Linked DNA regions of Callithrix jacchus. The protein of the gene in region 6 interacts with the protein of the main gene of each other region in a pairwise test. Links are inferred from orthologs where the notes say so. Each region holds a gene or a part of one and is shown on either strand. Other genes may lie near its edges.

Region 1 (4,225 bases), on a different chromosome or scaffold from region 6:
TGGGCTGTTCCTCAGCCTACAGGACACCCCTCTAGCCTTACCTGTTGGCTCTTCCTCATCCTTTCAGGCCCAGCCCAGATACTTTAAACAAGAATGATGAGAGTTAACCTTTTCTTTTCTATTTTAATGAGACAGAGTCTTGCTCTTTCTCAAGTCTGGAGTGTAGTGGTGCGATCTTGGCTCACTGCAGCCTCTGCCTCCTGTGTTCAAGCTATTCTCATGCCTCAGCCTCCTGAGTAGCTAGGATTACAGGCATGTGCCACCACAACAGGCTAATATTTGTATTTTTAGTAGAGATGCAATTTCACCGTGTTGGCCAGGCCAGTCTCAAACTCCTGACCTCAGGGGATCGGCCAGCCTTGGCTTCCAAAGTGCTGGGATTACAGGCATGAGCCACAGTGACTGCCCCAGAACTAACATTTATTAAGCACCTGCCATTTTCTAGATGAGGTGCTTACTACCTTCCTTGAGTTATTTTAGGTAATCATCCCCATACCTCTTATGTGGCAGGTATGAGTGTTACAGAGGGAGAAACTAAGGCTGAGAAAAGCTAAGTAGCAGCCCCACGTCAGTCAACAGGTGACAGATTGCGGTCACACTCACGACAGAGTCTGACTCTAGAGCGGACCTTTTCTGCCCTCTGTTGCTGCCTCCAGGAGCCCCTCTGATTCCAAGGGTGGGAACTACCCCTCCTTGCCCTCGAGCCCGATGGAAGTCTGGGCTAGGAGCGGCTGTGGGCTCTTCCTCCTTCTCCCAGGCTGGCTCTTCAGGGGCGGAAGCCTGCCTGGCTTGCTCGCCTCTATAGTCCCTGGCACAAAGTAGGTGCCCGTGATGCCCAATTATTTCAGCAGGAGGGCAGGGGTGCCCCCAATGAAGACAGGAGAGCCAGGGAGGCGAAGCGACTCCCGGGGCCACCTATGCGTAGATTTTAGAGCCAGGCAAGAGCCAGGTCCCCTAGGTCCAGGGGCGCGCCCGGGGCTCCTTCTCGCCCGCCCTCCCTGCGCCCCCAGAGCTCGCGTCTGCAGGGCTGGGAGGCGGCGGCGGCGCAGCCGGGCCGGGCCGGACACCTAGGCCTGGAGGGCTGGCCTGGGGCGCTTTCGTGCCTGCCAGGGAAAGGCTGGAGAGGAGGCTGGGGGCGGACGCAGGAAGGAAAGAAGCAACGGGGTATTTTTGCGTTTTGACATGTTAAAAAGAAGTGCAGATTCACTTCCCGGCGGCGGACCGGTAGCCTATGCTTCTGTTGGGGACCCGCGTAGGGCGCGGGCTGGGGGCCGGGGAGGGAGGTGGCCGCCGCGGGGACCGGGGGAACGCAGGGCGGGCCTGAAAGAGCTCCGCCCCAAGGGGCGCGGCCACCCCGGAGGCGGGCGCACGGCTGCTTCTCATTCATTGTCTTGACAAGAGCATCCTCAGCGGGCGAGTCCCCGGCTCCTCCAGCTCCTTCCTCCTTCTCCTCCTCCACCTCCGGCTTCTGGGGGTCACTGTCCTCTCTTGGCAGCAGGTGAGGCTGGGCCTGGGAGGCGCGGGTGGGCCGCGGCGAGGGCCACCTGTGGGGCGGCGCGCGCGTGGGAGCCGCGGGCTGCGGGGGCGCGCGGCTGTCACAGCAACCCGGCCGGCGCCGGGGCCAGGGAGCGGGCGCAGCAGCACGCGGGGGGACGCTGCCTGGAGTGGGGGCTGCCGGGGCTCCAGATCGCTCTGTGGAGGCGAGGGCGAGGGACCACCGTGGCCAAGATGGAGGTGGGTGGCCGGGGGTCAGCACAGTGGCGAGGCCCCGACTCCCCCCGCAATTGAGTCTCGAGGAGGGTGGGGATGGGGGCAGGGTAGGGTGAGTGGGGCAGCTGCCCTAGCCTTGGAGACAGGAAGAGGTTGAGAGCAAAACAAGAAAAGCCCAAGTTCCCCTTTCCGTGGTTTCCGGGCCTGGTACCTGTGGCGGGGGAGGAGGCAGGGTGGGGCGATGGCTTCCTGCCCCCCACCTCTGGTCCGGGGCTCCCCTCTCTCTAGACCCAGGCTGCTCCTCAAGACTAGGGCTCTTCACTTATGCTCCTCACCGCTCTCTCAGCAGGCCGACCTAGCAGCCTCCTCGGGAATCCTGGGGTGGCTGGGGGTGCTAGAGCCCCCAGTGAGCAGGCGAAACTGAGGCTAGGGGCAGAAGCTCTGGGCATGGCATCCTCTGAGCGGCAGCAAAGATCCCTTCCCTGAGCAAGAAGGTGATGCGGTTGGCACAGGGTCGCCCCTGGAGTTCCTGGCTCCCCACCCAGACACGGGGGAAATCATCCTAGCTGGACATCAGAGAAGTCGGGGTGGCCTCTCCCTTCCTGTGTGTAGTTCACAAGGGGGTGGAGATGGCTCTTAAGGGCACCTGCTTTTCTGAGCGGAGGCGAGAGGCAGAGGTATGGGGAGGAGGAGATACTGGGACCTGAGCCACTGATGGCTTCTGGTGCCCAGAGACCTGCTGGGGAAGCCATCCTGCCGCCTCACTTTGCTCCAGCAGCCCCCACGCCACTTCCTCCTGTATCCAGCCCTGTGCCAGCAGGCAAGGGAAGCCAGCCCCTGCCCCTGCCTTTAGGAGGCACTCTGTGTGGGTGTGAGGGAGGTGGGCTCTGGACACGGTAACTAAGAGAGAACCCACCCTCAGAGCCATCTGGGCTGATGACGCCTGAGTCTGAACCATTAGGAAGGATGGGCTCTGCATCCGTCAGCCAGTCAGTCAGTCAGTCAGCAAACATGCAGTGGGGGCAACACCACGCCGGGCTCTGCTGCAGAGGCTAAGGGTACAGAGTGAGAAGGTGGCTCAGAGTGGCCGGGGGCCAAGGAGAAAGGAGCTTGCAGGTTAGACAGGAGGAGAGGCTGGCAAAGGGGAGCAGGCATCAGCCACAGTAGGGAGCCTCTGGAGATGATGCTGGGACCTCAAAAGCCAGACTGAGGGGTGTCCTAGGGGAGGTGGAGGCCATTGGAAGATCAGAGTTGACCTGAAGGGAGAAACGCTCTTAATCTGTGTGCCCCCAGAATGAGCCGGCAGGTAGTCCGTTCCAGCAAGTTCCGCCACGTGTTTGGACAGCCAGCCAAGGCCGACCAGTGCTATGAGGATGTTCGCGTCTCACAGACCACCTGGGACAGTGGTTTCTGTGCCGTCAACCCTAAGTTCGTGGCCCTGATCTGTGAGGCCAGTGGGGGAGGGGCCTTCCTGGTGCTGCCCCTGGCCAAGGTGAGCCCCTGGGGCCCTGTGGGGAGCAGCTTCTCCACCTGACCATGGCTCTGTGGAGGTCCTGATTAGGTGACTGTCACCAAGTCTTCTGGGGCCTGTGTTGCCATCTGGAAAACTGAGCTGGGCCCCAGGAGCCTCATGCTTCCTCCAGCACCTCTGTGCAGTGGCTGTGTGGAAACTGACGCTCAGAAGGAGCCAACACAAGATGGGTCACACCACTGCCCAGGACTGCAGACAGTCCTGCACACCCACAACCCACCCTCCCGAGCCTCAGCCTGGGGCTTTCTCCCCATGGAAACACCGAGAAGGCTGGGATGGGGTCTGGGGGCCCGGCAGCATTTTCAGGGTTGGGAGGGACTCTGGCTCTGGGCCTGCCTGAGGACCTCGAAACTCTGGCCCCCAGCTCACAGGCAGAGAGGATGCAAGAGGCGCTCTCCCCTCCCCCAGCCCTGCCCTCCCCTGAAGCCTGCTGTCCCTTCCACCGGCTGCCTGCTGCCCTGCACCCCCAGCACACTCCTGTGCTCTTTGGGGGGTGAGACAGGAAGGGGAGATGGGCCCCAAGTTGTTACCTTAAAAGGGCCGATAGAAGCAAAGAGAAGAGGAAGTGGTTGTCGGGGTGAGAGCTGGGCCTGAGCCCCGCACTGCCGTCACACAGGAAGCCCTGCTGGAGCAGCTGTCCCCGGAAGAAGCCATTTCCAAACCTCTGCCCTCGCCTGGGGCTGGTTATGACAGGCTCCCTGGCCCCTCTCCTTTGGGGAGGACCCACCCCTGCAGCCCCACCACTCACACTCGCTCTCTGGGGAGCCAACCGTGCCCCCCTACTCCCCATACACCTGTCCTGGCTCTAGGGCCAGTTGGGCCCATGGAAGGCTCACTCAGGGAAGCTGGGGTGGGGTGCAAACCCTAAGGGCAGAGAGAGACTGAGACAGAGACCAGCGGGAACTCTGCCAGGGTCTCGCATGGCCCACATCCTCTGCCATGCGTGGCCAGCCCTCCTGGGGTTTACCCAGGCCATTTTGGGAC
Region 2 (3,713 bases), on a different chromosome or scaffold from region 6:
CTGACAAAAAAATGAGCCACAGTACACAAATGAAAAAGTTTTGGGTATACAGTTATAAAATGAGGAGAGGCCTTAAGAAAGTCATCAACACACAAGGGCTTTGCAGATTACCCCCAATCAGAACATGAACAGAACTTGCACCTACCCTGTGAACTCTAAGTGTTTATTATCCAGATTTTACTCTATGTCTCTTGTAACACAATTTAACCCACTGTGAATTGGAAACCATGTAGTGACAAATTGTTATAATGGGGTTCTAATGAATATTAGAGATTAGCAGCTATAAGTCTAGCAACAGATAAAGTTACTGAGTAAAATGCTTAGTTTGTACCTGAAGTATATCCAGGACCGCGTCTGCCGTGCCCCCTATTTCTGTAAGGTCTACTACCTCGACCCATTCCTTGACCATCATCAGTCACATAGCCTTTTTCCTTATCTGTACGATTTGGTGGTGGTCTAGAACTAGCTCCAATCTGTCGCAACTGCTCATCAATTTGTAATCTCTCCAAACGCAACTGGTCTACTTCCTATTTAAAATATACAAGATAACAGTAAAAATAATTTGACATTTTACTTAATAAAACCTTTCTCCTTTTCATCAGATAAAAATATACTGGAAATATTTCAATTTCAGCTCTAAATTTACAGTAAATACTGTTACATAGAATTATCAGGAAACTGAATGATCTCCTTAAAAAGAAAATTACTAGAGATAACAGATTATTGATGTCCAGAATTAAAGATATAACAAAAACACTCAGCATTAAAATTATACTGAATAAAATTTAAAGCTGTCTAATTTAGCAATATTATCCAATTATTCTACTGCTAAGGCACAGATATGCTCTTTTGGGGACTTCTTCATGATAGGATATTAAACAATGCTAAAATGTATGAATACAGATAAATGACATTTAAGGTTCAACCAGCTAACCTTAAAAATCACACGTTGTAAATAATCTTAATTAAAGTAGATTTGTCAGTTAATATCTAAATTTACAAAGCATTGAGTCTGGGCCATCTTTTGTTTTAAAAGAACATATACTATGGTTAAGGAACAATTATTTTCACAAACTGAAAATGTTGACTGTTCCTTATGAAGGGAAAACAAAACTATTTAATAGCTGACCAGACAGCTAGGTCTCACATCATGCCTTGAAAACTTAAAGACTACAATTCTGCTACAACAAGTACAAGCCACAGTATACATTCAGTTGATAGAAATATACACCTAGGGTCCACTGACAGACCCTTACACACAGTGCTTCCTGTATGTTGGGTTCTGTTAAACCCAGGTGAAACCTCACTTCTAACCACTGTCCTTCGAATCCACTCAGAAACATCTCATTTACTGGCTACAGGGAATCAGATACATAACTATTGTAGCAGTAGGTGTCTCAGTGAAGCAGAGGTTATTACAGAGACTGTCTATATGAACAGTCAATGGAGAAGTCCCTGTAAAACTAAGTTTCTAAAATCTTGATTGTGGCAGCTTCTGGAAAAGAAAGGTCAGGTAAGTATTTGGTGAGTTTCACCTGCGCTCTGCCATCATTAGCAACTTACACAGTTACACCAAAATCTGTTTTACACAGAATTTGAGCAAAGGAGAGACTGCAGCTGAGTGACTTCCTCCAAAGGTATAGTAATAGCTCATGGAATGGGGATATCTTGCAAAAGAGAACAAGTAGTCCAGGTTATCCCACTGGGGCAAAGCAGTCACCTTTTGGTGAGAGATGCCAGGCCCAATCAAGGGAAGTTATGGTGATGTAAAGAATGGCAACAGGGCAGCTGCTGATAACCAAAGAAGATATTCTTGAGAATAAATCAAAGGATCTAAGAAAGAACATTAGTCAAAATAATAAGGGATTTGATACAGTGCAATCCTAACTCTCCAGGTCTTCAAAATGATTTAAGCTAAGAATGTGAAGAAACACTAAAGATTACACATAAGCATACTGTAAAAAAAAAAAATCAAAGAGGTATTCCTACCAATGTAAACCTTGCTGGATGAAACCTTCCCACTTTTAATTAACTGGCCACCATAAGAATGAATGACATGCCCAATATCACAGTTTTTCTTCCTTTCATGCTTATTTATACACAAGCAGAAATCAGTTTTTCTTTCTTTCAAGAAATCAGCAAAAAAATTCCTAACGCCATAAATAAGAGTTGATTGCTTTTAAAGACATTTAATACCAGCTACATTATCATTTTGATATGTATGGATACAAATAAAACACTATAAAAACGAAGTAGATCAGTTTCCATTTCATTAAATTATAGAACATTTTGGCCAAAAGGAATTTCAAGAAGCATCTAGTGTAGGGAGGTGACTTGCCTAAAGTCACACAGCTAGTTCATTGGCTGAAGACTTATAAGCAAATTGCTGGATTGCCAATCCAGTGCTTTCTCCACTACACCCTGTAGCTTCCTGGATCCTATCTTCCAGTTTGAAATTTAAAGGAGGCATAACTGCCTAACTCTAAAATGACCATTTATGAGAAGCACAAACAGTTTGTATTTTGAAGAATAGCAAAGAGAAAAATAGAGAGGGTAAACATTTAAACAAAGGACTTCATGAAACGCTTAGCTTTCCTTGATAAATGACACAAAAGGAATAATAAAGGCAAGAGTTACAGACACAAATTTTGGCCTGGAAAAACCAAAATGCTAGAAAGGATCAAACTGATTAAAAGATTATGTACAGGACTGCGTAAATGGGTTTAAGAGAAGAATAAGGGTAAGTATAAAATTTTACTGAGAACTGCTATATAGGTCCTTAAATTTGTAGTGACTTCCATTTTTAGAAAAATTATAAACTAAACAACATATTTTCTCTATTATCTTTGACAAGTCAGTGTTTTGCACAGGCGAGAATGAATCCTAACTGCTAAAAGATCTACTATAAAGTTTGTATATTTTAGTACAAAAGGATTAGAAGTTGTTCTTTCTGTTCTCACCTTTAAATAGTTCAGGTGATAATCCAAAAGAACAGTGGCATTAGCGATGCTGTCCTTTGTTCCCACAAAAACAAATGGTACCATACCCTGAAAAAGAAATTGCAATGATGATCCTAAAAATTAATGATAGATTAAATCTGAAAAATGTAAATAATGACTAATTCCCTAGCACAGGATCTGGTGAACAGTAGGTATACAAATGTTTGCTGAAAATATAAATCAATATATGAAAACAAAAGTAGTTGATATACTACTTTATACATCTACTGTGAATAAGAAAAGATTAATAGCAACCTCTTAAAAGTATCAGATTACATTTTGAAGATTAGTATTCAGTAACAGCAAAATTTAAAAATGTATAATTCAAAACTATAGAAGCTTAACATGAGATATATAGACAAAATGAACAGTGTAAGACGCTCTAATTCATTTACTAAATGCTTTATCATGATCAAAGTCTTTTTTTTTTTTTTTGAGATAGGGTCTTACTGTGTCATCCAGGCTGGAGTGCAGTGGCACAATAACAGCTCCCTGCAGCCTTGACCTCCCCAGGCCCTAGGTGTTCCTCCCACCTCAGCCTCCTGAATAGCTGGGACTACAGATGAATGCCACCATACCCTGCTAATTTTTGTACTTTTTGTAGAGACGGGGTTTTACCATATTGCCCAGGCTGGTCTAGAACTCCTGGGCTCAGGTGATCTGCCTGCCTTGGTCTCCCAAAGTGCTGGGATTACAGGCGTGAGTCACCACACC
Region 3 (4,316 bases), on a different chromosome or scaffold from region 6:
TTGATGGGCAGAGCCCCTAGCCTCGGGTGAGAGGGTGGGAACCATAACATGGTATGAACTGATCCGAGTGAATGTGTTTGAACACTCACCACATGCCAAGAGCTGTTCTCATCTCTTTGCATGCAGTATCTCATTTAACCCTCTTAACAATGTAAGGAGGCAGGCACTCTTTATCCAGAGGAGGAAACTGAGGTACAGAGATTAATAGCACAGTGCCAGAGCTATTATAAGAAAGGACTGGTCAGGAGTTGAAGAGAGACTGGATGTGAGGAAGGTAACTGACCGTCACAGTGTCCTGTGGGATTTTTACTAAATGATAAACCACCCTGTATAGTTCTTCAACTGATCCAGCCATGCAGGGGTAGGATTCATTTGGATCTGGCCATAGCAGCTTTCCAGGGGCCAATCCCACTTCAGCCTAAAGCACCCCATAGGTTATCATTTAATCCGCAGCGGGACTAAGCCTTAGACCAGAAATTCCTCCCTAATGGGCTCCCTGGAATGGTTCCCACATAGCTGGGGGTCCTTTACTGACAATGCTGCCTGCCCTGATGCTTGATGTAACTCAGCCATATCTTCTGCAGTTGGGAGAGATGGGGAATGACATTTTGTGTTTGAACCCAGCAGGTCAGGCTCCTGAAGAGGTCAGGTAGGCTGTAGAGAGGACAACTGGTGATTACTGTTTATTACATGACACTAAGTCCCCAACACACGAAATCTGGGGTTCCCCAAAACAGACGGTGTTCTTCCACATGCTCCTCAAGGATGGAAAATGCCCTCCAGTGGAAATGCCTTTCCACTCTGCTTCTGCTGGATTTTCCTCCAAGATTTCCTCTAACTGTGGACTGCCAGCTCCTCCCTGATGTCTTCAGGCACCACCCAACCTCTGTTCTTGCTGCAATCCACAAGGCTCCTATCAACATCTTGACTTTCCCTCCAGTTTTCTTCCATTTTCTCCCCCTATGTTGACTGCGGTCTCCTTTCCCGCCTTTCTCCTTCATCTTGCCCTACAAAGCCGCACCTGAACCACAAGTGCCAGAGAGTTTGATCATTTACCTAATGTCAACAAAAGAAAAAAAAAGTAAGCTCTAGAGCCGGCTTGGCCTGAAGCACTCAAGCACAGTTAACAAGTGGGGCCAGGGCACCCTCCTACCCTCCACCTCGCAAGGAACTCAGAACTCTGAAACGGGGAAAGGGCCAGGCCTGCTGATTTAATCTATGTCCCGCAGTCTCCAAGAGGTCACAGACTGCAGATCCCAGTCTCCTGAAGTAAGAGAGGAGAGGACTACCGCAGTTGGAGGACAGCGCGAGGGCCAAGCGGCCCAAGATGCGCAGGCCACGCAGCCTCACGGACAAGTGGCCCTGGAGAGCCTCCAGGCACCCGGGTGGGGCCGCGATCGCGCTCTCAGTCACCCTAGCCTGTGGGCGCGGCAGGGCGGCGCGGGCGGGCCGGCTGCCGGAGCTGTTTGGCGTCTTGGCCTGAGTGTTTGCCCAGCCCGCCTGCGTCGCTCGGGGCGGCTCGGCCTTTCCCTCCCTCCCTTTGCCGACGGCTTCTGGCAATCAAGTGGATGTGGCGGGCGATCGGGCCACCTAGCCCAGGCGCGCCCAGCACTGGTAGGTGCTGGGGGTGGTGAGAGGCTTTGGGGAGAGAGTGCATGGGGTGGGAGTTGGGGGAAGGGAATTTCCTCCGGGCTTGCAGGGGTACCTGGGAGGTGCACGGCCCAGAGCGGGCGGGCGGAAGACTCACCCCGCCTCCACCCCTCCACGGCGCGCGGGGCGGGCTCAGGTGCGGGGCTGGGCGCCTAGCGCGGCCGCGGAGTGTCCGGTGTCCGGTGTCCGGTGTCTGGAGTCTGGAGCCGCTGGCTGGGTGAGTGGCGGTCCCCGGGGCCCGGGGACTTGCAGGGGATAGCGGGGTGAGTTCCGAGGGGGAGGGTCTAGCCCGGGCTCAGGAGACTTTTGGGGAAGTTCTGGGATCTGGCGAGGACTCGCGGCTCGTGCTTCCACCCGCGTGGAGTGCAGGCCGGGAGACGATCCGGGCTGGCCTGGAGTTTCTAGACTCCTAGCAGGAGCACAGCCCCGTCCTTCGCCCGGAGATCTTCCAAGAGGGAAGTCCTGGGAAGCGGTGGCAGCCGGCTCAGCACCCCTGCAGCGCGTTCCCTGCGTGCCGGCACCCAGGGGCGCCCCCACGTGGGGTCGGGGCGCGCGCGGAGGCACGTGCAGCGCAGCCTCCCTGGGCCTCAGACCTAGACATGGTGCCCAGTGGGCTCAACCAAGGGCGCCCCTGCCCACTGCTGGACTCGGGGGTCACGCGGGCCCCGGGAGGAGCCACAGTTTGTAGATTTTCTGAGTTGTCTCTCGCTTCCCTGGACGCTTAGAGAAGCAGCAAGCATGGAACCTCCCCTTTTCAGACAGGTGCTCCTCATTGCTGAAAGAGGCTTTTGTTTGATTGCTGTTTTAATAGAAACAACGACTTGGGTACCATTATTGTTAAATAGTGAATAAATAAGTGTAAAGTATACAGGGGCATAGATTTGGCATGAGTGGAATTTTCTAGGTATACTAAATCTGTGTGTACAGTAAACTCAAATTTCTGAAGAATAGTATATACTTGCAAAACTTGCCAAATTTCTGTCATCTCTAGTAATTTGTTTCATGGTCCAAAAACAGCCCTTGTGCTGGTAGATGCATAAGATAAAGTTTGAATAAGAAAGTAAAGTTGGACCACAGAGCTGGCTGTTTTAAAGGAATTAGAATTCAGACTGTGTTGTTAATGTATAGTTACACTGTCGGTACTACAATACTTTGTTATTTTTTATTTTATTAGGTCGGTGCAAAAGTGCGTTTTTTCATTATTGTTTTGTTTTTGTTTGTTCGTTTTTGAGACGGAGACTTGCGCTTTTTAGCTCAGTCTGGAATGCAATGGTGTGATCTTGACTCACTGCAGCCTCCGCGTCCCAGGTCCAGGTTCAAGCAATTCTCCTGCCTCAGCCTCCCAAGTAGCTGGGATTACAGGCACGTGCCACCATGCCTGGCTAATTTTTGTATTTTTAGTAGAGATGGGGCCAGCTGGTCTTGAATTCCAGACTTTGTGATCCGCCTGCCTCAGTCTCCCAAAGTGTTGGGATTACAGGCGTGAGCCACTGTGCCCGGCTGTAAATTGCAGTTTTTATGGCCAAGAAAAACAGTAACTTTTTTTTTTGCCATAAAAACTGCAATATTTTTGCACAGACCTAATATTTTTGAGACAGGGTCTCGTTCTGTCACCCAGGCTGCAGTGCAGTGTATGATCTCAGCTCACTGCAGCCTCAAACTCTGCAGCTCAAGCAATCCTCCCACTTCTGTCTCCCAAGTAGCTGGGACTATAGGTGCAGGCCACCACACCTGGCTAATTTTTATATTTTGTGTAGAGACAGGGTTTTGCCATGTTACCCAAGCTGGTCTCAAACTCCTGAGCTCAAGCAATCCACCCACCTCCACCTCCCGAAGTGTTGGGATTACAGGTGGAGCCACTGTGCCCGGCTTACTCTTTTTATGATTTAGGCTGTATCTTAGGCCTTTTAAAATTTTTATTTGTTTAGGCATCAGAGTTATCCAAAAGACAGTTGTATTAACACTGTGAAGGTGTGAGAATCAGGCCAAATCTATGGTAGCGTGGAAAACAGCTGATTCTCTCACCCTTTAGCAATTGGTGTTCAGAATAAATAGCAGGTGTGGGCTTGTTGCTTATCTTTCTCTTAAGAATGGTTTTGTGTTAGCTAGCTTTTCCTTTATTGGATCTTGAAAAACTGGAGGTTTGCTGCACTTGATATTTTATGGGAAAGTCCTTTGAATTTGAATCAGTATCAGCAATGATTATTTGTCCTTGTCAGAGAGTGAAAGTGGGAAAACCCGGTTAGTTAATTTCCTCATTTCTATTTCTTCTACCCTGGCTCTACCAGGCTCTTTCACTTCACAGTAGATTATGTCACATAAACCACATATTATGAGGAGTCACAGACTGAACTGGCCCTCATTTCACAGATGAGGAAACTGAGTCCCAAGAAGGTGAGGTGGCAGCCTAGAGTCACACTGCTCATTAGAGGCAGAGCTGGGAATTGAGGCTGAATTCCCTCTGGGTGTCTTGGATGCACTGTGCTGAGCTTGAGTTGGGGTCTGAGAAAGGCTTGGGGTGGGGGTTAGGGGATGGGAATTTAGGGGTGAGAGGGAGAGGTAATTTACACCAGCACCATTCAGCAGCTGCAGAATAACCACATCGTCAACAGCCTGACCACAGATAGTTGTCGGCTAGATCCCCCAAGTATTCTTGGAGGCACAAG
Region 4 (3,713 bases), on a different chromosome or scaffold from region 6:
AGCACTTTGGGAGGCCAAGGCAGGCAAATTGCTTCAGCTGGGAGTTCAAGACCAGCCTGGGCAGTGTAGGAAAATCCCATCTCTACAACAACAAAAACACAAAAAACAAAAATAAGCCATTTTATTCTAGCCAGGCACACACCTGCAGTCCCAGCTACCTGGGAGGCTGAGGCGGGAGGCTGGCCTGAGCCTCAGGTGGATATCGACATGCAAACCTCACACCATATATGAAAAGTAACTTGGAATTGATCAGAGACCTGCCTGGAAAACCTAAACTATAAAACTTCTAGAACAACACGTAGGAGAGAATCTATGTGACCTTGGGCTTGGCAAAGATTTCTTAAACCGAACATAAAAAGCATAAAATACGAAAGAAAAATCAATAAACTGGACTTCATTAAATTAAACAGTTTTGCTCATAAAAGACGTTACTATGAAAGTGGAAGCCATGAAGGGGGGACCATATCTGCAACACCTGTGCCCAAAAGGACTCACACCTGGGTAAAGAACTCTCGCAACTTCCCAAGGAGAAGATAAGCAACCCGTTTTTTCTTTAAAGATGGGCAAAAGGTTGGGACAGCCACTGTCCTGGGCCCCAGCCTCCCAGCCTGGCCATCCTCCCTCCACTCCGTGACCACCCAGACGTGCCCTCCCCACGGCTGCCAGCCTTCCCCCGGGGCTCACCCGCTGCCCCCCCACCGGCCATACCATTGAGGTAGTAGCCCCTCCTGGTCCTGTCCGCGGTGGGCAGGCTGCTCTCCGAGAAGCACACCTTCTTAGTCCGGACCACCTCCCTGGGCTCCAGCAAGCTCTTGTCCACCAGTGAGTCTTGCAAGGGGCTCAGGAGTGGGGACAACTTCCTGTCAGTGCCTCGGTGGCTGTGCAGCTCCGAGGGACTGAAGAAGGCCTTGAAGTATGCCTGGGAAGGGGCTGCACAGCCTGGGGAGGCGTCGTCTTCACTGGGCAGGGGGGCATGTGAGCACAGCAGGTCCTCCAGGCAGGGCATCTGCAACTGGGAGGGTGTGTCAGCGACACTGGTGAACCTTCCAAAATCTGGAACTGGAGCAGGGAGGAAAGGGGTGAGGCGTCAGGTCAAGTGCCTAAAACATCCTCCAGAGTGCAAAGAACATGTTAACAAACCCTGTGTGCCCAACCCCAAGCTTCAGCACCTGCTGGGGTGTCCCTGGCTTCAGAGCATCCTCCTGCCCCTCTGGACCTCGAGTGAAAAAGGAGATGCTAGATGTAGTGAAGTGGCCGTGGGAGCCTGCCATGCCCACGGGAGCGCTGTTTATGGTGCCCACCATACCCACGGGAGTGCTGTCTGTTTATGGTGCCCACCATGCCCACGGGAGCGGTTTATGGTGCCCACCATGCCCATGGGAGTGCTGTCTGTTTATGGTGCCCACCATACCCACGGGAGTGCTGTCTGTTTATGGTGCCCGCCATGCCCACGGGAGTGCTGTCTGTTTGTGGTGCCCACCATGCCCATGGGAGCGCTGTTTATGGTGCCCACCATGCCCATGGGAGTACTGTTTATGGTGCCCACCATGCCCATGGGAGCGCTGCATGTTTATGGTGCCCGCCATGCCCACGGGAGCGCTTTGTCTGTTTATGGTGCCTGCCATGCCCATGGAAGGGCTGTTTATGGTGCCCACCATGCCCGTGGGAACGCTGCATCTGTTTATGGTGCCCGCCATGCCCACGGGAGTGCTGCATCTGTTTATGGTGCCCGCCATGCCCATGGGAGTGCTGCATCTGTTTATGGTGCCCACCATGCCCGTGGGAACGCTGCATCTGTTTATGGTGCCCGCCATGCCCATGGGAGTGCTGCATCTGTTTATGGTGCCCGCCATGCCCATGGGAGTGCTGCATCTGTTTATGGTGCCCGCCATGCCCACGGGAGTGCTGCGTCTGTTTATGGTGCCTGCCTTGCCCATGGGAGTGCTGCATCTGTTTATGGTGCCCGCCATGCCCATGGGAGTGCTGCATCTGTTTATGGTGCCCGCCATGCCCACGGGAGTGCTGCGTCTGTTTATGGACACAGCAAGCGGGCAGGCCTCCGCGTGCTTCCTCCCGCCCTGTGCACCCACACACACTGGAGAATGACTTTTATATGCATTTTAAATTTTACATAAATGGTGACACCCTACACATTTTATTCTGCAACAGAACTTTTTGCTGCTGCATTCTGTCTCTAAGATTTATCCACGTTGAGCCATCTGGTAGCTCCCAGTTCATTTAACTGTTTCCTGGCACCTCTGTACACATGGACACACACACAGTGGCTTTTTACCCTTGCCCTGTCGATGGGCACAGGCTGTTCCCACATTTCCTTGCAAACGCACAGCTCCCAGGATGAGCCTTCTCCCTCCGTGAGCATCCTCTGTGGTCCAGCGCTGGGCTCAGCCTCCTCCCTCCGTGAGCGTCCCCTGTGGTCCTGCGCTGGGCTCAGCCTCCTCCCTCCGTGAGCGTCCCCTGTGGTCCTGCGCTGGGCTCAGCCTCCTCCCTCCGTGAGCGTCCCCTGTGGTCCAGCGCTGGGCTCAGCCTCCTCCCTCCGTGAGCCTCCCCTGTGGTCCAGTGCTGGGCTCAGCCTCCTCCCTCCGTGAGCCTCCCCTGTGATCCAGCGCTGGGCTCAGCCTCCTCGCTCCATGAGCCTCCCCTGTGGTCCAGCGCTGGGCTCAGCCTCCTCCCTCCGTGAGCCTCCCCTGTGATCCAGCGCTGGGCTCAGCCTCCTCCCTCCGTGAGCGTCCCCTGTGGTCCTGCGCTGGGCTAATGTTTAACTTTCTTTGCTTTCCACGATGAGGGGGAGGTTCCATGCCCACCAACTGCTCCCGGCCCCACAGCCTCATGAAGACTCGGTATTCCCTAACCAGGCTGATGAGGTCATGTGGCATTTCCCTAATCCCTGGTCAAATTTATCAATGCCTTTGTGGCTTATGAAATTCTATTCTACCTCCATGTCGTGAGTATTCTCCTAGCAACAAAGCAAATACATATTTGAGAAACGCTGTGAAGAGCTATATCAAAACGTCATGTGCCTACAAAGGAACCAACCAATCTTCCCTCAGAAATGTTTTCCAAGGAAAAAAAGTGTTCAAAAGAAGCAAAGTCATCAGTGTGTGCCCTGCCTCCTGCCACGGGGGAGGCCTGGTCAGTCCTCGGGGCTGCACCAGCTCCCACCCCAGGTATTTTCAAATTATAAAAGAGCATCATGTACAATTCTGTATTAATTAAAATTGCAGTAAAAGGACGTATCTTCTGGAAAGTTACTTTTTTTTTCTTTTTTTAAATTGCATCTTAGGTTTTGGGGTACATGTGAAGAACATGCAAGATAGTTGCATAGGTACACACATGTGGCACATATACACTATGGAATATTACGCAGCAATCAAAAATGATGAGTTCGTGTCCTTTGTAGGGACATGGATGAACCTGGAAAGTTACTTTTAAGTAACTCAATAATAGATAGAAAACCTAAATGAACCAACACACAAAGAAGGAAAGTCTCAAAGTCAGGAAATTATTATTCCCCAAAAAGGGCTGCAGGCCTGGGTGTTCTGTTCGTGAGTGTGCCAAGTTCCCAACAAGTCATAATCCCAACATCATACAAATGAAGCTGGAACCACAGAACGCTTAAAGCATGCTCAATTAGGTTTCAAAATTTGTCACAATTCTAACGTCAAATTCCTACAAAGATAACCCCTAGGAAAAAT
Region 5 (4,402 bases), on a different chromosome or scaffold from region 6:
AAAAAAAAAAAAAAAAAAAAAAGGCAGGAGGCACAGACCGTTGTTTCAGATCCCCTTCCTCTGTGCCTTCCCCTGCCAGCTCACCCTCTTCTTCACCTGCTCTCCGGCTGCCCGCACGTTCCGGGCCTCCACAGCGAATTTCTTTTTCCCCCTGGTCCTTCTCCTGGGTCTGGCCATCTCCAGCGTTCCTCTGCTTTACAGCATCTTCCTGTAAGTGCGAGAGGCTCCTGCCTCTTTCCCTCCCTCTCCCTGCGTTCAGCGTTCAGACTCCTGGCTCTACGTGAGCCCAGCCTATCTTGACTTCAGGATCCCACCTTCTAAGCTATGTGGTCCATTCCGGGGGCAGTCGTCCATCTGGGCCCAGATCCCTGAGTCTATTTCCAGCCTCCCTGAGACCGCCCAGAACTTCCTCTTCTTCCTGGGGACTCAGGCTTTTGCTGTACCCCTTCTGCTGATTTCCAGGTGAGTTTGCCCAGACTTCTGGGTCTGGGTTTGAATGCACGTGATCTGGGGGCCACCACCTGCGTCGGAGAGAGGAGAGGCTCGGGGTGGGAGGAGGCCTAGGGTCCAAAGGAGGAGGAGGAGGAGGGTGGGACTTAGGACTCCTGGGCTGGGAGACTGAAGTCCTTGTAGATGACATCCTGGCTTTGAAGGAGCCAGGGGTTTGTATAGAATGGAGGAGCGTGTCAGGAGTGGCTTCTGTTCGTGTCTCCTCCAGCATCCTGATGGCGTACACTGTGGCTCTGGCTAACTCCTACGGTCGTCTCATCTCTCAGCTCAAACGTCAGAGAGAGACGGTGAGCCAGGCGGGTCCCTGAGAGGGACCCCGTGGGGGACATTGAAAGGCATTGGGGGAGAGGGCTGTCTGACCTCCACCTCTCTTTGCCTCAGGAGGCGCAGAACAAAGTCTTCCTCGCACGGCGCGCTGTGGCGCTGAGCTCCACCCACCCGGCTTTTTGACCCCTGCAGCCCATGTCCCACCTTCAGACTCCAGGCCAATTGTAAGCCTAGGTCACATCTGTAAAACTAGGAGAACTAGAGAAGACCCCACGCTCTTCCAGCTCTAGGATCTGGAGGTTTCCAGAGACCCTCGCCGCCACGTCCCAGACTCTCGGGTGATCTTTCTTCTATGAATAAACACAGCCGAGGTGACTGAGCGCGCTTTGAAATCTGCGTCCTGAAGGTGGGGGCAGGGCTACATCAGGGCGGGAGCCAATCAAATGCATGGGAATGTGTGGCCGTTCGAAGTGCTCTTCCGCAAGGAGACTTGATGGTTGTGTTGGCCAATCGGCGGCCGAATCTGGCATTAGGGGAGGGCCAACTTGCGATTGGCTCGGATATGTGAAAAGCGGTTGCTAGGGGATACCACGCGCCAAAAGCCTGGCATTCGCTGAGATAAAGGGCGTCTTAGCCAATCACCTGTCGTTACAGGCCAGGGGGCCGTACCAATGAGTTAAGAACCAATCTGTGGTCGAAGTAGGGACAAGAGGGAAGGGGCATTCTCTCGCCAATCGGAAGTGCAGAGAGGCGGGCGTGCCAGTCCGTGGACTGCTACGACGCCATGAATATCTTGCCCAAGAAGAGCTGGCACGTCCGGAACAAGGACAATGTTGCCCGCGTGCGGCGTGACGAGGCCCAGGCCCGGGAGGAAGAGAAGGAGCGTGAGCGGAGGGTGCTGCTGGCTCAGCAGGAGGTAAGCCTGGGAACCGGCCGGGCGGAACTCCGGGGCCCAGCGCGCAGGCGCCATGGTAGGGGGCCGGAAGTGGACGCGTTGCGCAGGCGCCGTGTGCCCCGTATGTAATTCGTGACCCGGCGCGGACCTCTTTTCCGAAACGTTGCTCGGCAAACGTTGTGCCCACTTGCATGAAATCTCCCTTGATCGCCCCCTCGTCTTGTTTCCCCCCACTGATGTATTTCACATGGCTAGAGCAGTGTCTAGCACAAAAGAGAAGCATAAATGTTTACCGAATTCAGGATTCCTTGGACAGTTTGAGGAAATTCGGATCACTTTCTAGTTGGCTTGCACAGTCTATTTATTGAGCAGTTACTGTATGCTAACTGCATGCAGAACGCCTGACTTCCAGAATCCCCCTTAAGCACCGTTCTTTCTTAAAGAGGCATTGTCATCTCCGTGGCACGAAGTGAGATGGCGTCAAGGGAGGGGAAGTCTCCACCCCCTTGGGCGAGCCCTTTCCCTGCACCACCCCCAGACACACACACAAACATGGGCTTTATGTATAGCTCCTTAAATCTGTTTGGTGTACACCTAACTTTCAGTTCCTTAGCCAGTCTGATCCTCCACACTGGGAGGGAGGTAGTCTGGGTTTTTAGAATCTCAGTAGGCTGCTGAGAGCTTTGTCCTGAAGGTGGGAGACCGGGCTTCATCAATGGACTTGGGGTAATGACTTGGAGCCATGCCTGGAATCCAGATCATCTGACCTAATGCAGTTTGTTCTACCTTTATAGCTGTTTTAATTGTCTCACTTGAGGTTAGGAACCCCTTTGGTTTAGGCCAGGGACCTCCTCCCAGCCATCCTTGATGTGTGGTTTACTATTTGAAAGGCAGTTTACAAAACCCAGGTGTTGCCTTATCTGCCTACCCTCACCCCTGCTAGGACAGGTGCCCCCTTTCTTACAAACCCAGCACCCTGGACTGCTGTTTCCTGTGGTGCGCACCAGACTTAAAAGTTCTTGAATTACCTTTAGGTTTTTAATGTCTTGCCTGTAACTTTCTCCCCAGGCCCGTACAGAATTCCTACGGAAGAAAGCCAGACATCAGAACTCACTGCCTGAGCTTGAGGCAGCAGAGGTGGGAGCCCCAAGTTCTGGCCCTGTGGACCTGTTTCGAGAGCTGCTGGAGGAGGGGAAAGGCCTGATCAGAGGCAATAAAGAGCACGAGGAAGAAAAGCGACAGGAGAAAGTAAGCTGGCCTTATCTACTTCATCAGAGACATGAATGGAGCTGGGGGGAGGGACACTTTAGCCATTGGTTGTGACTAAGGCTAAACAAGAGTGAACACTCAGAATTTAGAACCATACCAAAGCACACTCAGAAGTGGTGGCTGTTGCCATTTGGGTGCCCTCAGGGCTTGGAGGTAGATGCTCGAGATCCCCAGCTGCTAGGTGAACTGCTCAGGTCTCCAAACTGGAGGGGTCTCAAACCTGATGAGCTTTTAAAAATCTAAATCAGCTTGGTGGTGGCTCATGCCTGTAATCCCAGCATTTTGGGAAACTGAGGTGGGCAGATCACCCGCGGTCAGGAGTTCAAGACCAGCCTGGTCAACATGGTATCTCTACTAAAAATACAAAAAAAGTTAGCTGAGCATGGTGGCATGCACCTTTAGTCCCAGAGGCTGAGGCAGGAGAATCGCTTGAACCCAGGAGGTGGAAGCTGCAGTGAGCTGAGATCGTGCCACAGCACTCTAGCCTGGGTGGCAAGAGTGAGACTCAATCTCAGGAAAAAAAAAAAAAAAAAAGTGAATCAATCACTTCTTGCCTTTTGGCTAAGATCGAGTGTAAAAGCTCCTGTTCCTCACCTGCTGTCTCTGGACTTGCTGACCCCACCCACGGGTCCTCTTGCTTTGCTTGCTCCCTGCAAAGATGCCTGCCTCTGAACATTCAGGCAGCTCCACCCCATCCCCTCCTTCCTCTGCTTTCTGTGACTGTCCCTGCTATCGTCACCCCAGGGCAGGAGCTTGGCCTCTGCTGGTCTCTTCCCTCCCCAGCACCTGGCACAGCTGCTTCACCATAGGCCTTAGATACCTGTGTCAGGGAGATAAACCTGACACCCTGAAAGATTATATCCCATCTCTTTTATTTCCTGACCCCTCAGGAGAGACAAGAGAAAGCTCTGGGCATCCTGACATACCTGGGCCAGAGTGCAGCCGAGGCCCAGACTCAACCCCCTTGGTACCAGCTCCCACCAGAGCGAGGGGGTCCCCCGCCTGGCCCAGCCCCAGATGAGAAAATAAAGAGCCGCCTGGACCCTCTGCGGGAGATGCAGAAGCATCTGGGGAAGAAGAGACGGCACAGCAGTGATGAAGGCAATCACAGCAGAAAGGAAAAGGATGGCTCTGAGACACAGCGACCCAAGGGGTGAGGAGGAGGACCCTGCCCTGGCAGAGCAGGACCCAGATCTTCAGGGCTTGGCAGCAGCCTGGCACAGGCACAGCAGGAGCTCTGGGTGGAACAGCCAGGGACCCCGTGAAGGGATGGCTGGGTGGAAAAGTGGTTCTCACCATGTGGTCCAGGGAGCCCTAGGGGTCCTGACTCCCTTTCCGGGGGGTGCCGTGGTGTCAAGCCTATTTTCCTAACACTGTTTGCCTTTCACACTCATTCTCAGGCAGGTAGTGCAGCTTTCCAGAGGCTACATGATGAGAAGACACCCTCACTGTGATGACTAA
Region 6 (4,052 bases):
TGAAGATGCAGTAAGAATACAGGTATTGGCTGGGCACGGTGGTTCATGCCTGTAATCCCAGCACTTTGGGAGGCCAAGGTGAGTGGATCACCTGAGGTCAGGAGTTCGAGAACAGCCTGAACAACATGGAGAAACCCAATCTTTACTAAAAATGCAAAATTAGTTGGGCATGGTGGTGCACGCCTGTAATCCAGCTACTTGGAAGGCTGAGGCAGGAGAATTGCTTCTGGGAGGCGGAGTTGAGCTGAGATTGCGCCATTGTACTCCAGCCTGGGCAACAAGAATGAAACTCCAACTCAAAAAAAAAAAAAAAAAAAAAAAAAAAAAAAAAAATACAAGTATCTGTGAACCAAGAAACAGGCCCTTCCTTTCCAGACACCGAATCTGCTGGTGCTTTAATCTTGGATTTTCCAGCCTCCAGAACTATCAGAAATAAATGTCTGTTGTTCATAAGCCACCCAGTCTATGGTATTCCGTCCTAGCAGCCTGAATGGGCTAAGACATATATTAATATATATACAGAGGAGACTTTTTTCTTTTTTTGAGACTGAGTCTCACTGTTTCACTCAGGCTGGAGTGCTGTGGCACAATCTCGGTCACTGTAACCTATGCCTCCTGGGTTCAAGCAATTCTTGTGCCTCATCCTCCTTAGTAGTTGGAAGTATAGGGCATGCAGCATGCCTGGATAATTTGTGTGTGTGTGTGTGTGCGTGTGTTTTTAGTAGAGACAGAGTTTGGGCATATTGGCCAGGCTGGTCTCGAACTCCTGACCTCAAGTGATCTTCCCACCTCAGCTTCCAACAGTGCTGGGATTACAGGTGTGAGCCACTGCACCGGGCCACTCACTACACTTTCATAATTAGAAAGATTAGTTTCCTCTTGAAAAAACAAATAGATTAGAAAACTAGTAGAAGTGGTTACAAAGTATAAAAGAGATAGTAAAATGATACAATGTGAGGAGTATACAAGAAAGATATTTAAAACAGACTTTTTGTTTGTTTGTTTGAAACAGAGTCTTACTCTGCTGCCCAGGCTGCAGTGCAGTGGCACAATCTCGGCTCACTGCAGACTCCGCCTCCTAGGCTCCAGAGATTCTCCTGCTTGTTGTTTGCCCTTGGGGATAACAGAAAGCACAAAATATAATTCTCAGTTGACACTGTACATTTCCCAGGCAGAGACGAGGGCGGTCTTGGTCCTTATTGTATGAACAGATCCAACTCCACCCTGACATGGAAACTGGATTTCCTGATATCTCCTTAAACAGGCCTTCAGTAGCCAGGTAGTCATGTTGAGCCTGAGTTTTGGTGTATCTTAAGTTAGTCTGGGCCTCTGTTTCCTTAACTCTAAAGTTGTTGAGAAATGTTAAGTTTATGAATATTGATGTTGAGAAATGTTAAGTTTATGAATATTGATGAATGCCGAGTGTATGACAGAATATATCGTTTGCTAGGAAGAACGATGGCAAGGAAAACCAGCACACAGCCCCACCCCCCCCCCCCCCCCCGCCAAGTAGAAAACTACTTGGGGCATTCCAAAGTGGCAGGACAATGTATAAATATCACAAACCGGTTACAGTTCTTTAAGAACCTGCCCCCGTGGCTCCCTCACGGAGAATACTTTTTAGGTTGTGATCAGTTGTAAGCGGGCACCAGATGTCTACTTGGCGTGTTTTGTGTTATGAGAAAACACATAACACCTGTTTGTTAATAGTGATCACCTGTTCAGGGAGAATAAATGCATGGGTCAGAGTCTACTTGGGGCCTTCAGTCCGGAATGCTGTCCGGCCCCTGAGGCTCTCAGTTCAGAAGCCTATTGGCCACTGCCCTCCCCGCCTCTCACCCCCATAAGCCCACTTTGCTGTTCTATCTGGGTGTCTGCCTCTCAGTTCCTTCAGCGCCGCCTGGATGGGGGTCTCTATGGCCGAGCTGGTACTTGGTATAAAGTGAAGAGTTGGAATGAAGATTGTATTTAAACACCCTGGCTGGAAGCTGTGGTGCCCTGAATTCTCCCTCTTACTCCATCGTCTCAATACTGGCACACAGCCGACACTCAATAAAAGTAAATTTGTGGCTTCTGTCCAGTACTTGGCACTTAGAAGCCCTCAATAAATGACTATCAAGTTTATTTCATCTTCCCAGCACATTTGTGACAGTCTTGAGGGCGGGAACCATGTACTCAATAGGGCCCTGATGACAGAAGAGGAAATCGGCTTGGTCCCTATTCGTAGAAGTTCATAGGTTAGTGTGGGAGGCTAAGATAATAACTCGCCCATTTAAAGATATTTTTCCAAAGTCCGCATGTATTGGGTGGAAAAGGTGAGGCAAGCGTTGTATTTCCCAGACTCCCGACCAGGTTGCGAAATGATTGACGTCCGAGGGAGACCACCTCACCTTTTCATTGGTTGTAGCTGACCCTCCCTTCTATCACCTAACCATTCCCGACGGACGCCTCACTTAAGCCCCGCCTCCGGCTGCCAGCCAATCAGAAGTGCCGAGGACCGGGTCGCTGCCGGGACACTGACGCGGTTTCGATTCCAGCGAAAAATGCCTCAGCTCGGACTGTCTCGTGACAGGGGGTGCGAGGAGGACAGTCCCGCGCCCGCTGAGCCCTAGAGCCGCTGCCGCCGACTGTCATGGAGGACGAGCAGCCTGACAGCCTGGAGGGCTGGGTGCCGGTCCGAGAGGGCCTCTTCGCCGAGCCCGAGCGGCACCGGTTGCGCTTCCTGGTGGCCTGGAACGGCGCGGAGGGCAAGTTCGCTGTGACTTGTCACGACCGCACCGCGCAGCGGCGGTGGCGACGCGAGGGGGCCCAGCCCGAGCCCGAGCCCGAGCCCGAGCCCGAGGCCGCCATGTCCCCCCCAAGCTGGGCCGGCCTACTTTCGGCCGCGGGGTTCCGCGGCGCGCACCGGCAACTGGCGGCGCTATGGCCGCCTCTAGAGCGCTGCTTCCCGCGGCTGCCACCGGAGCTGGACGTAGGTGGCGGCGGCGGGGCCTGGGGCCTGGGTCTTGGGTTGTGGGCGCTGCTGTGGCCGGCGCGCGCGGGGCCCGGAGAGGCGGCGCTGCGGGAGTTGTGTGGACGGCTGGAGCGCTACCTGGGCGAGGCGGCAGACGGCTGCGGTGGCGCCACCGTGCGCGACGCGCTCTTCCCGGCTGAGGGCGGCGCGGCAGACTGCGAGAGCCTGCGCGAGTTCCGGGAACGGGCCCTGCGCGCGCGGTGGACCGAAGCGGACGCGCGGCTGCGCCAGGTAAGTGAGGTCGGGCCCAGTCTGCGCTGCCTAGGCTTGGGACCTTGTGGGAAGCTCCCCGGGCGCCCAGAGCCCGGGCTGCCAGCTGACGAGGAGGAGCCGGAGGGTGGAGAAGGCCGCGGGCTCCGCGGTGCTCTCACCTTCGCGGGACCGCTGTGCGAAACGGGCGGGAGCTCCGGGAGGGCCTGCAGAGAGGACGGACAAAGTTAGAGCCTAGTGTACTTGCAGCTCGGAGCTGGGCTAGGCTCCCAACCTTTGTCCTGGAGATGCTGGCAGAACAGGGTGTTGTAACGGGAAATGCCAGAAATATTGCAAGCAAAACTGTAAACAACCCATCCACGTAGGAAAGAATAACACGGACTAAATGTAAGCGTTCCAAGTCTGTATATGAGGGAATGTCACAAACGGGATAAAATGGTTTAACGGAAGAAATGGCTGTTAAGAGATAAGGTGTTTTGTTTTGTTTAAGTGATAAAGACTTGGCTGAGGGAAAGTGAAAGTGAACTTTAGTCATCAGTTTGGAATAACTGCAGGAGTGCTGCTTGAACGAGGTAGTTTGAGAAGGAGTTATTGAGTGGTACACCTAGCGAACCTAAGGGGAGGGGGAAGTACAAGTTCATAGAAGGGTTTAGGAGAAAATATGCCTTCTAAATCCACGCCCACAGTTTACTAAGGAGAGCCAGGCTGGTGTGCAGTGGGACAATCTTGGCTTACTGCTGTTATTAACCTGAATGATTTTTTTTTGTTCATTAAGGAAGGGGAGGTGAAGAGAAGAGTTCAGCTACATTTCAAAATCTTAATTATATCC
Region 7 (4,347 bases), on a different chromosome or scaffold from region 6:
GGCCAACATGTGAAACCCCATCTCTACTAAAAATATAAAAATTAGGTGGGCGTGGTGGTGGGTGCCTGTAGTCCCAGCTACCCAGGAGGCTGAGGCAGGAGAATCGCTTGAACCCAGGAGGCAGAGGCTGCAGTGAGCCAAGATCGTGCCACTGCACTCCAGCCTGAGTGACAGAGCAAGACTCCATCTCAAAAAAAAAAAAAAAAAAAAAAAAAAAAAAACCACCAGGTCCTGTCCCTCTTCCTTCCACAGCCCTCCAGGGCTCCCACCTCACTCAGAGCAAGAGCCCTGTACTCCCCGAGGCCCACAAGCCCTTTTGGAACTGGCCTGTGTCACCAGCTACAGAGTTGCAGGGCACAGTACAAAAGAAAACTGAAAGGCCCCTTGTTCGAAAATGATTCGGAATTTCAAAACGCAGCAGTAAAGATTCACCCAGGCAGAAGCCCTGCTGGGGGCAGGGGGCCTGGGCAACAGCATGAAGCCCCAGGCCCAGGCCCTGCCTCCATCCCGGGCATCCTGGTGCCAGGCACAGTCCTGCCCCAGGGCCTTTGCACCTGCTCGTCCTGCCTCTGACTGGCACTGCCCCCATCCCCTGTTCTCGCTCCTTGGGGTCCGTTTGTGGAGGAGGAAGCCCTCTCTGACCCTCCCTGCCCTCTGTTCAACCTTGCACCTTCCTACCCCGCCATTGTCCCAGCCGATTTTCCCCGCAGAGGCGTCCCCACCATCTGACCTGCTGGGAATTCAGCTCCTGAATTTATCTCTGTCTGTCTCCAGGCACCTCACCAGGGCAGGGGCCTTGTACCCCCCCCACCCACCCCAGGGCCCTGGAGCAGCCGGGCCTGGCACACAGGCCCTCCATAAAGGTGTCCAAAGAATGGCTTCCCTGAGGAAGGCGGCATGACCGCTGCCTTTCTGCAGAAGAGGAAACTGAGGCCCGGCGAGAACCACCGCCCAGCCAGAGCCAAGGTCACAGAATACGTCCCTGGCACGCGTCCAGGTCGTGCCACCGCAGGGCCGGCGGCTTCGACCTGGGCAGCCGGGTCCCTTTCTCTGACAGATGGGGAAACCGAGGCCAGGCCGGCCGCCAGGCTGGGGCGGGTGGCGGGGGCCGCGGCCCGGGGCGGGGGCGCGCCGGGCCCAAGGTCACCGCGGCGGGCGGGCCCCGGGGAGGCGGGCCGGGGTGGGGATCCGCAGGCCTCCCCGGGCGCGCGCGTCCCCCCCCTCGGCGGCGCGCACGGGGCACGGGCGGCGGCGGCAGGTGGAGCCGGAGCCTCCGCAGCAGCCGAGCCGCGGCCACCGCCGGCGTCGCCGCCATTAGACAATAGCGGTGGGGCCGGGGAGCGGGGAGGCGGGCGGCGGGGAGGGGCGGGGAGGGGCGCCGGGCGCGCAGGAAGCGGGGCCCGGGGCGCGCCGGGGCCGGGCGCGCGGGGAGGGGGCGCAGGAAGCGGGCGAGGCCGGGCGCGGGAGGCGGCGGCGGCGGCCCCGGGAGCTGCCGATCCGCGCCGGGACAAAGGCGCGGCCGCCCGGCGCCCCGAGCAGCCCGAGCCGGGGCGCACAGCCGGGGCGCAGCCCGCGCCCCCCGCCGCGACTGACATGATGTTTCCACAAAGCAGGCATTCGGTAAGCGGGGCCCGCCCGCCCGGCGCCCCCTCCCCGCGCCCCCGCCCCGCGCCCCCCCAGCTCCCGGGCCCTGGCTTCCCTCTCGGGCTCCGAGCCCCGCGCGACCCCCGTCCTGCCGCCGACCCCCGGACACCCCCTCAGTTCCCGATTCTCCCCCAGCTTCCGGGCCCCGAACCCCCCCCCAGCTCCCGGCTTGGCGCCCCCCCCCCCGCCCGCCGGGACAGGCAGGGCCTCGGACGGCCTTGGCCTCGGGCCTGGGGATCTCCGGGAGCCCCGCCAGGCACCTCCAGCGCGGGGCTCCTTTGGGGGCCTGTGGTGGGGGGGACAATCCGAGGCGTCCCCCCTCCCGGAAGAGAGCGCGTCCCCGAGGAAGGGCGCTGGGATTCTGGGGTGGGCTCCCCCCCGGAAGATTTAGGGCGCCGAGAGAGACCCCCTTCCCCAAGGGGACTTTGCAGGGGGGACTCGCTGCCCCTCAACTTGGGGAGGGGGCTCCCTAGGGCGCGTTTCCACCCCCCTCGGAGGCACCCACTCCCGGCGCTTTGGAGGGGCGGTAGAGGGCGTACCCTGCCCCCCACCTAGGGCGGGCCTTAAAACGCACCCCCCACTGCCTGGGGGTGGCGGGGGACGGGGCGGCTCCGGGCGCACCCACCCCCTCAGCTTCCCCCGGGGAGAGGCGGGGGCAGGAAGCGCGGGTGGGGGCCTTGCCAGGGGCGGTAAACACGGGCCCAGGAAGTGGGGCAGGAGGGGGGGCGCCGCAGCTGCGCGGCCGCTCCCTCCTGGCCCGCCCTTGAGGGGGGCCTGGCCCACGCCTGGGCCTGACCGGGGCGCCCCCCTCCCCACAGGGCTCCTCGCACCTACCCCAGCAACTCAAATTCACCACCTCGGACTCCTGCGACCGCATCAAAGACGAGTTTCAGCTCCTGCAAGCTCAGTACCACAGGTGAGGGGCGGGTCGGGGTCCCTGCGCCCGAGAGGGTGAGCCCCCTTGTTCTGCACGGACGGCAGATTGGGAAAATAACGTGTGCTAGGCTCCGACCGAATCGCTTGACAAATACTGAATTCCTTTCTTTAAACAGCCCCAGTTTGTAGAGGAGGAAACCGAGGCACAAAAAAGTTAAATAATTTGCCCAAAGACCCACCTGTGTGACTTCAGAGTCCCTCCCTCCTCCCCAGTCTCCCCCAAGCCCCCCCCCACCCCCCGCTGGATAAAAGACCTTGCGCCAACCAGCTTAGAGCCTGGACTCACCATCCCCCCAACCCCAAAACACATTTTGTAACCTGGTTATGTCTGTCTTTGGCCAGTTTTGGAGAAAGGGTTCCCAGCGCCCATCACGTTCTCCAAGGTGCTTCTCCTTTCAGAAATCTGACCTTTCTGAAGAGTTTGCCATGTAGCTGGTCTAAGGCGAGGGAACTATTGAGTCCTCTTAAAGAAATGTAAGCCCAGGCCGGGCGGTGGCTCACCCTTATAATCCCAGCACTTTGGGAGGCCGAGGCGGGTGGATCACGAGGTCAAGAGATCGAGCCCATCCTGGTCAACAAGGTGAAACCCCGTCTCTACTAAAAATACAAAATTAGCTGGGCACAGTGGTGCGTGCCTGTAATCCCAGCTACTCGGGAGGCTGAGGCAGGAGAATTGATTGAACCCAGGAGGCGGAGGTTGCGGTGAGCCGAGATCGCGCCATTGCACTCCAGCCTGGGTAACAAGAGTGAGAATCCGTCTCAGAAAAAAAAAAAAAGAAAACAAAAGAAAGAAGCTTAAGCCCAGAGAGGTCAGGGATTTCCTCAGGGTTAGTATCCACAGCACTGAGGAAGGGGCAAGGCTGAGGTGGGCACCAGGTCTCTCTCCTGGTGTAAGGATGCAGATTCCCACGTGCCCTGCTCTGGAGGGGCGCAGCAGACCTGGGAGTCTGGAGGAAGTCAGGCCACGCTGAGGCCCACGTTTCAGCCTGGGGGCCCTCTCCTGACTGCAGTTTGCCCATCCTGGAGGGACCCTGGACTTCCTCCAAGTAGAAAGGGGAATCTCGATTTTGAAACTATCCAAACTTTCGGGGTACTCCCTGTGTGCTAAAGACCATATGTGCTTCCTCGTGAGGTCCGGCTGTCGTGCCCATTCTCAAGATGGGCACACTGAGACCCCGACAGTCAAAAGCACTGGAACCAGCTTTCCAGGAAGGCCCCAGAAACTTCTATTTGGGTCCCTGGAAGCATAGGGTTTGAGACTGCCTGGTGGGCCCTGGGGCTGACCTGATTCCACAGGGAAGAGATCAGATGGCCTTCGCAGTGCTGTGTGACCTCCAGTAAGCCAGACGCCCTCTCTGAGCTTTGGAGTCTCCATCTGCTGGGCCTGGGCTTTCTGCTATCCAGAAAGCCCTGCCATATCAGGCACACACTGGATGTTCAAGGCATAACAGCCCCTGGGTGGCCGGATCAAGTCTCACGCTGTCGCCCAGGCGGGAGTGCAGAGGGGCAATCTCGGCTCACTCCAACCTCCGCCTCCTGGGTCAAGTGATCTCCTGTCTCGGCCTCCCAAGTAGCTGGGATTACAGGCACGCGCCACCACTCTCCTAATTTTTGTATTTTTAGTAGAGACAGGCTTTCGCCATGTTGGCCAGGCTGGTCTTGAACTCCCGATCTCAGGTGATCCACCCGCTCGGCCTCCCAAAGTGCTGGGATTACAGGCGTGAGCCACTTTGCCCAGCCCTGATTTTTTTTTTTTAATGTTAGCAA

Evidence for each region.
Region 1: the proteins of FSD2 (region 6) and CORO1A interact in binary tests that used the Homo sapiens proteins (3 or more experiments, as listed by UniProt). The two-hybrid records come from large-scale screens. The link is inferred for Callithrix jacchus from reciprocal best matches to the Homo sapiens genes FSD2 and CORO1A.
Region 2: the proteins of FSD2 (region 6) and FMR1 interact in binary tests that used the Homo sapiens proteins (3 or more experiments, as listed by UniProt). The link is inferred for Callithrix jacchus from reciprocal best matches to the Homo sapiens genes FSD2 and FMR1.
Region 3: the proteins of FSD2 (region 6) and SH2D4A interact in binary tests that used the Homo sapiens proteins (3 or more experiments, as listed by UniProt). The two-hybrid records come from large-scale screens. The link is inferred for Callithrix jacchus from reciprocal best matches to the Homo sapiens genes FSD2 and SH2D4A.
Region 4: the proteins of FSD2 (region 6) and SPATC1L interact in binary tests that used the Homo sapiens proteins (3 or more experiments, as listed by UniProt). The two-hybrid records come from large-scale screens. The link is inferred for Callithrix jacchus from reciprocal best matches to the Homo sapiens genes FSD2 and SPATC1L.
Region 5: the proteins of FSD2 (region 6) and LENG1 interact in binary tests that used the Homo sapiens proteins (3 or more experiments, as listed by UniProt). The two-hybrid records come from large-scale screens. The link is inferred for Callithrix jacchus from reciprocal best matches to the Homo sapiens genes FSD2 and LENG1.
Region 7: the proteins of FSD2 (region 6) and TLE5 interact in binary tests that used the Homo sapiens proteins (3 or more experiments, as listed by UniProt). The two-hybrid records come from large-scale screens. The link is inferred for Callithrix jacchus from reciprocal best matches to the Homo sapiens genes FSD2 and TLE5.

What each region holds. Positions count from the first base shown.
Region 1 is NC_133513.1:29,353,527-29,357,751, reverse strand, and holds the start of CORO1A (coronin-1A), read left to right. Parts: upstream 1-1,381; 5' UTR 1,382-1,498; exon of another isoform or gene 1,499-2,192; intron 2,193-2,626; exon of another isoform or gene 2,627-3,003; 5' UTR 3,004-3,004; coding exon 3,005-3,202; exon of another isoform or gene 3,203-4,225. UniProt on the Homo sapiens protein: May be a crucial component of the cytoskeleton of highly motile cells, functioning both in the invagination of large pieces of plasma membrane, as well as in forming protrusions of the plasma membrane involved in cell locomotion.
Region 2 is NC_133524.1:144,510,911-144,514,623, reverse strand, and holds part of FMR1 (fragile X messenger ribonucleoprotein 1), read right to left. Parts: intron 3,048-3,713; coding exon 2,961-3,047; intron 528-2,960; coding exon 332-527; intron 1-331.
Region 3 is NC_133514.1:22,193,807-22,198,122, reverse strand, and holds the start of SH2D4A (SH2 domain-containing protein 4A), read left to right. Parts: upstream 1-1,471; 5' UTR 1,472-1,614; intron 1,615-1,773; exon of another isoform or gene 1,774-1,867; intron 1,868-4,316. UniProt on the Homo sapiens protein: Inhibits estrogen-induced cell proliferation by competing with PLCG for binding to ESR1, blocking the effect of estrogen on PLCG and repressing estrogen-induced proliferation. May play a role in T-cell development and function.
Region 4 is NC_133522.1:51,762,400-51,766,112, forward strand, and holds part of SPATC1L (speriolin-like protein), read right to left. Parts: intron 1,060-3,713; coding exon 709-1,059; intron 1-708.
Region 5 is NC_133523.1:47,340,407-47,344,808, reverse strand, and holds the start of LENG1 (leukocyte receptor cluster member 1), read left to right. Parts: upstream 1-1,538; 5' UTR 1,539-1,561; coding exon 1,562-1,693; intron 1,694-2,740; coding exon 2,741-2,920; intron 2,921-3,831; coding exon 3,832-4,094; intron 4,095-4,402. Other genes in the region: voltage-gated chloride channel TMC4, read left to right, coding at 80-210, 307-462, 719-797, 892-960.
Region 6 is NC_133507.1:24,078,506-24,082,557, forward strand, and holds the start of FSD2 (fibronectin type III and SPRY domain-containing protein 2), read right to left. Parts: upstream 2,633-4,052; 5' UTR 2,391-2,632; intron 1-2,390. Other genes in the region: WHAMM (WASP homolog-associated protein with actin, membranes and microtubules), read left to right, coding at 2,633-3,244.
Region 7 is NC_133523.1:2,836,530-2,840,876, reverse strand, and holds the start of TLE5 (TLE family member 5), read left to right. Parts: upstream 1-1,593; coding exon 1,594-1,620; exon of another isoform or gene 1,621-1,621; intron 1,622-2,462; coding exon 2,463-2,560; intron 2,561-4,347. Other genes in the region: uncharacterized protein LOC128930549, read right to left, coding at 780-1,595. UniProt on the Homo sapiens protein: Transcriptional corepressor. Acts as a dominant repressor towards other family members. Inhibits NF-kappa-B-regulated gene expression. May be required for the initiation and maintenance of the differentiated state.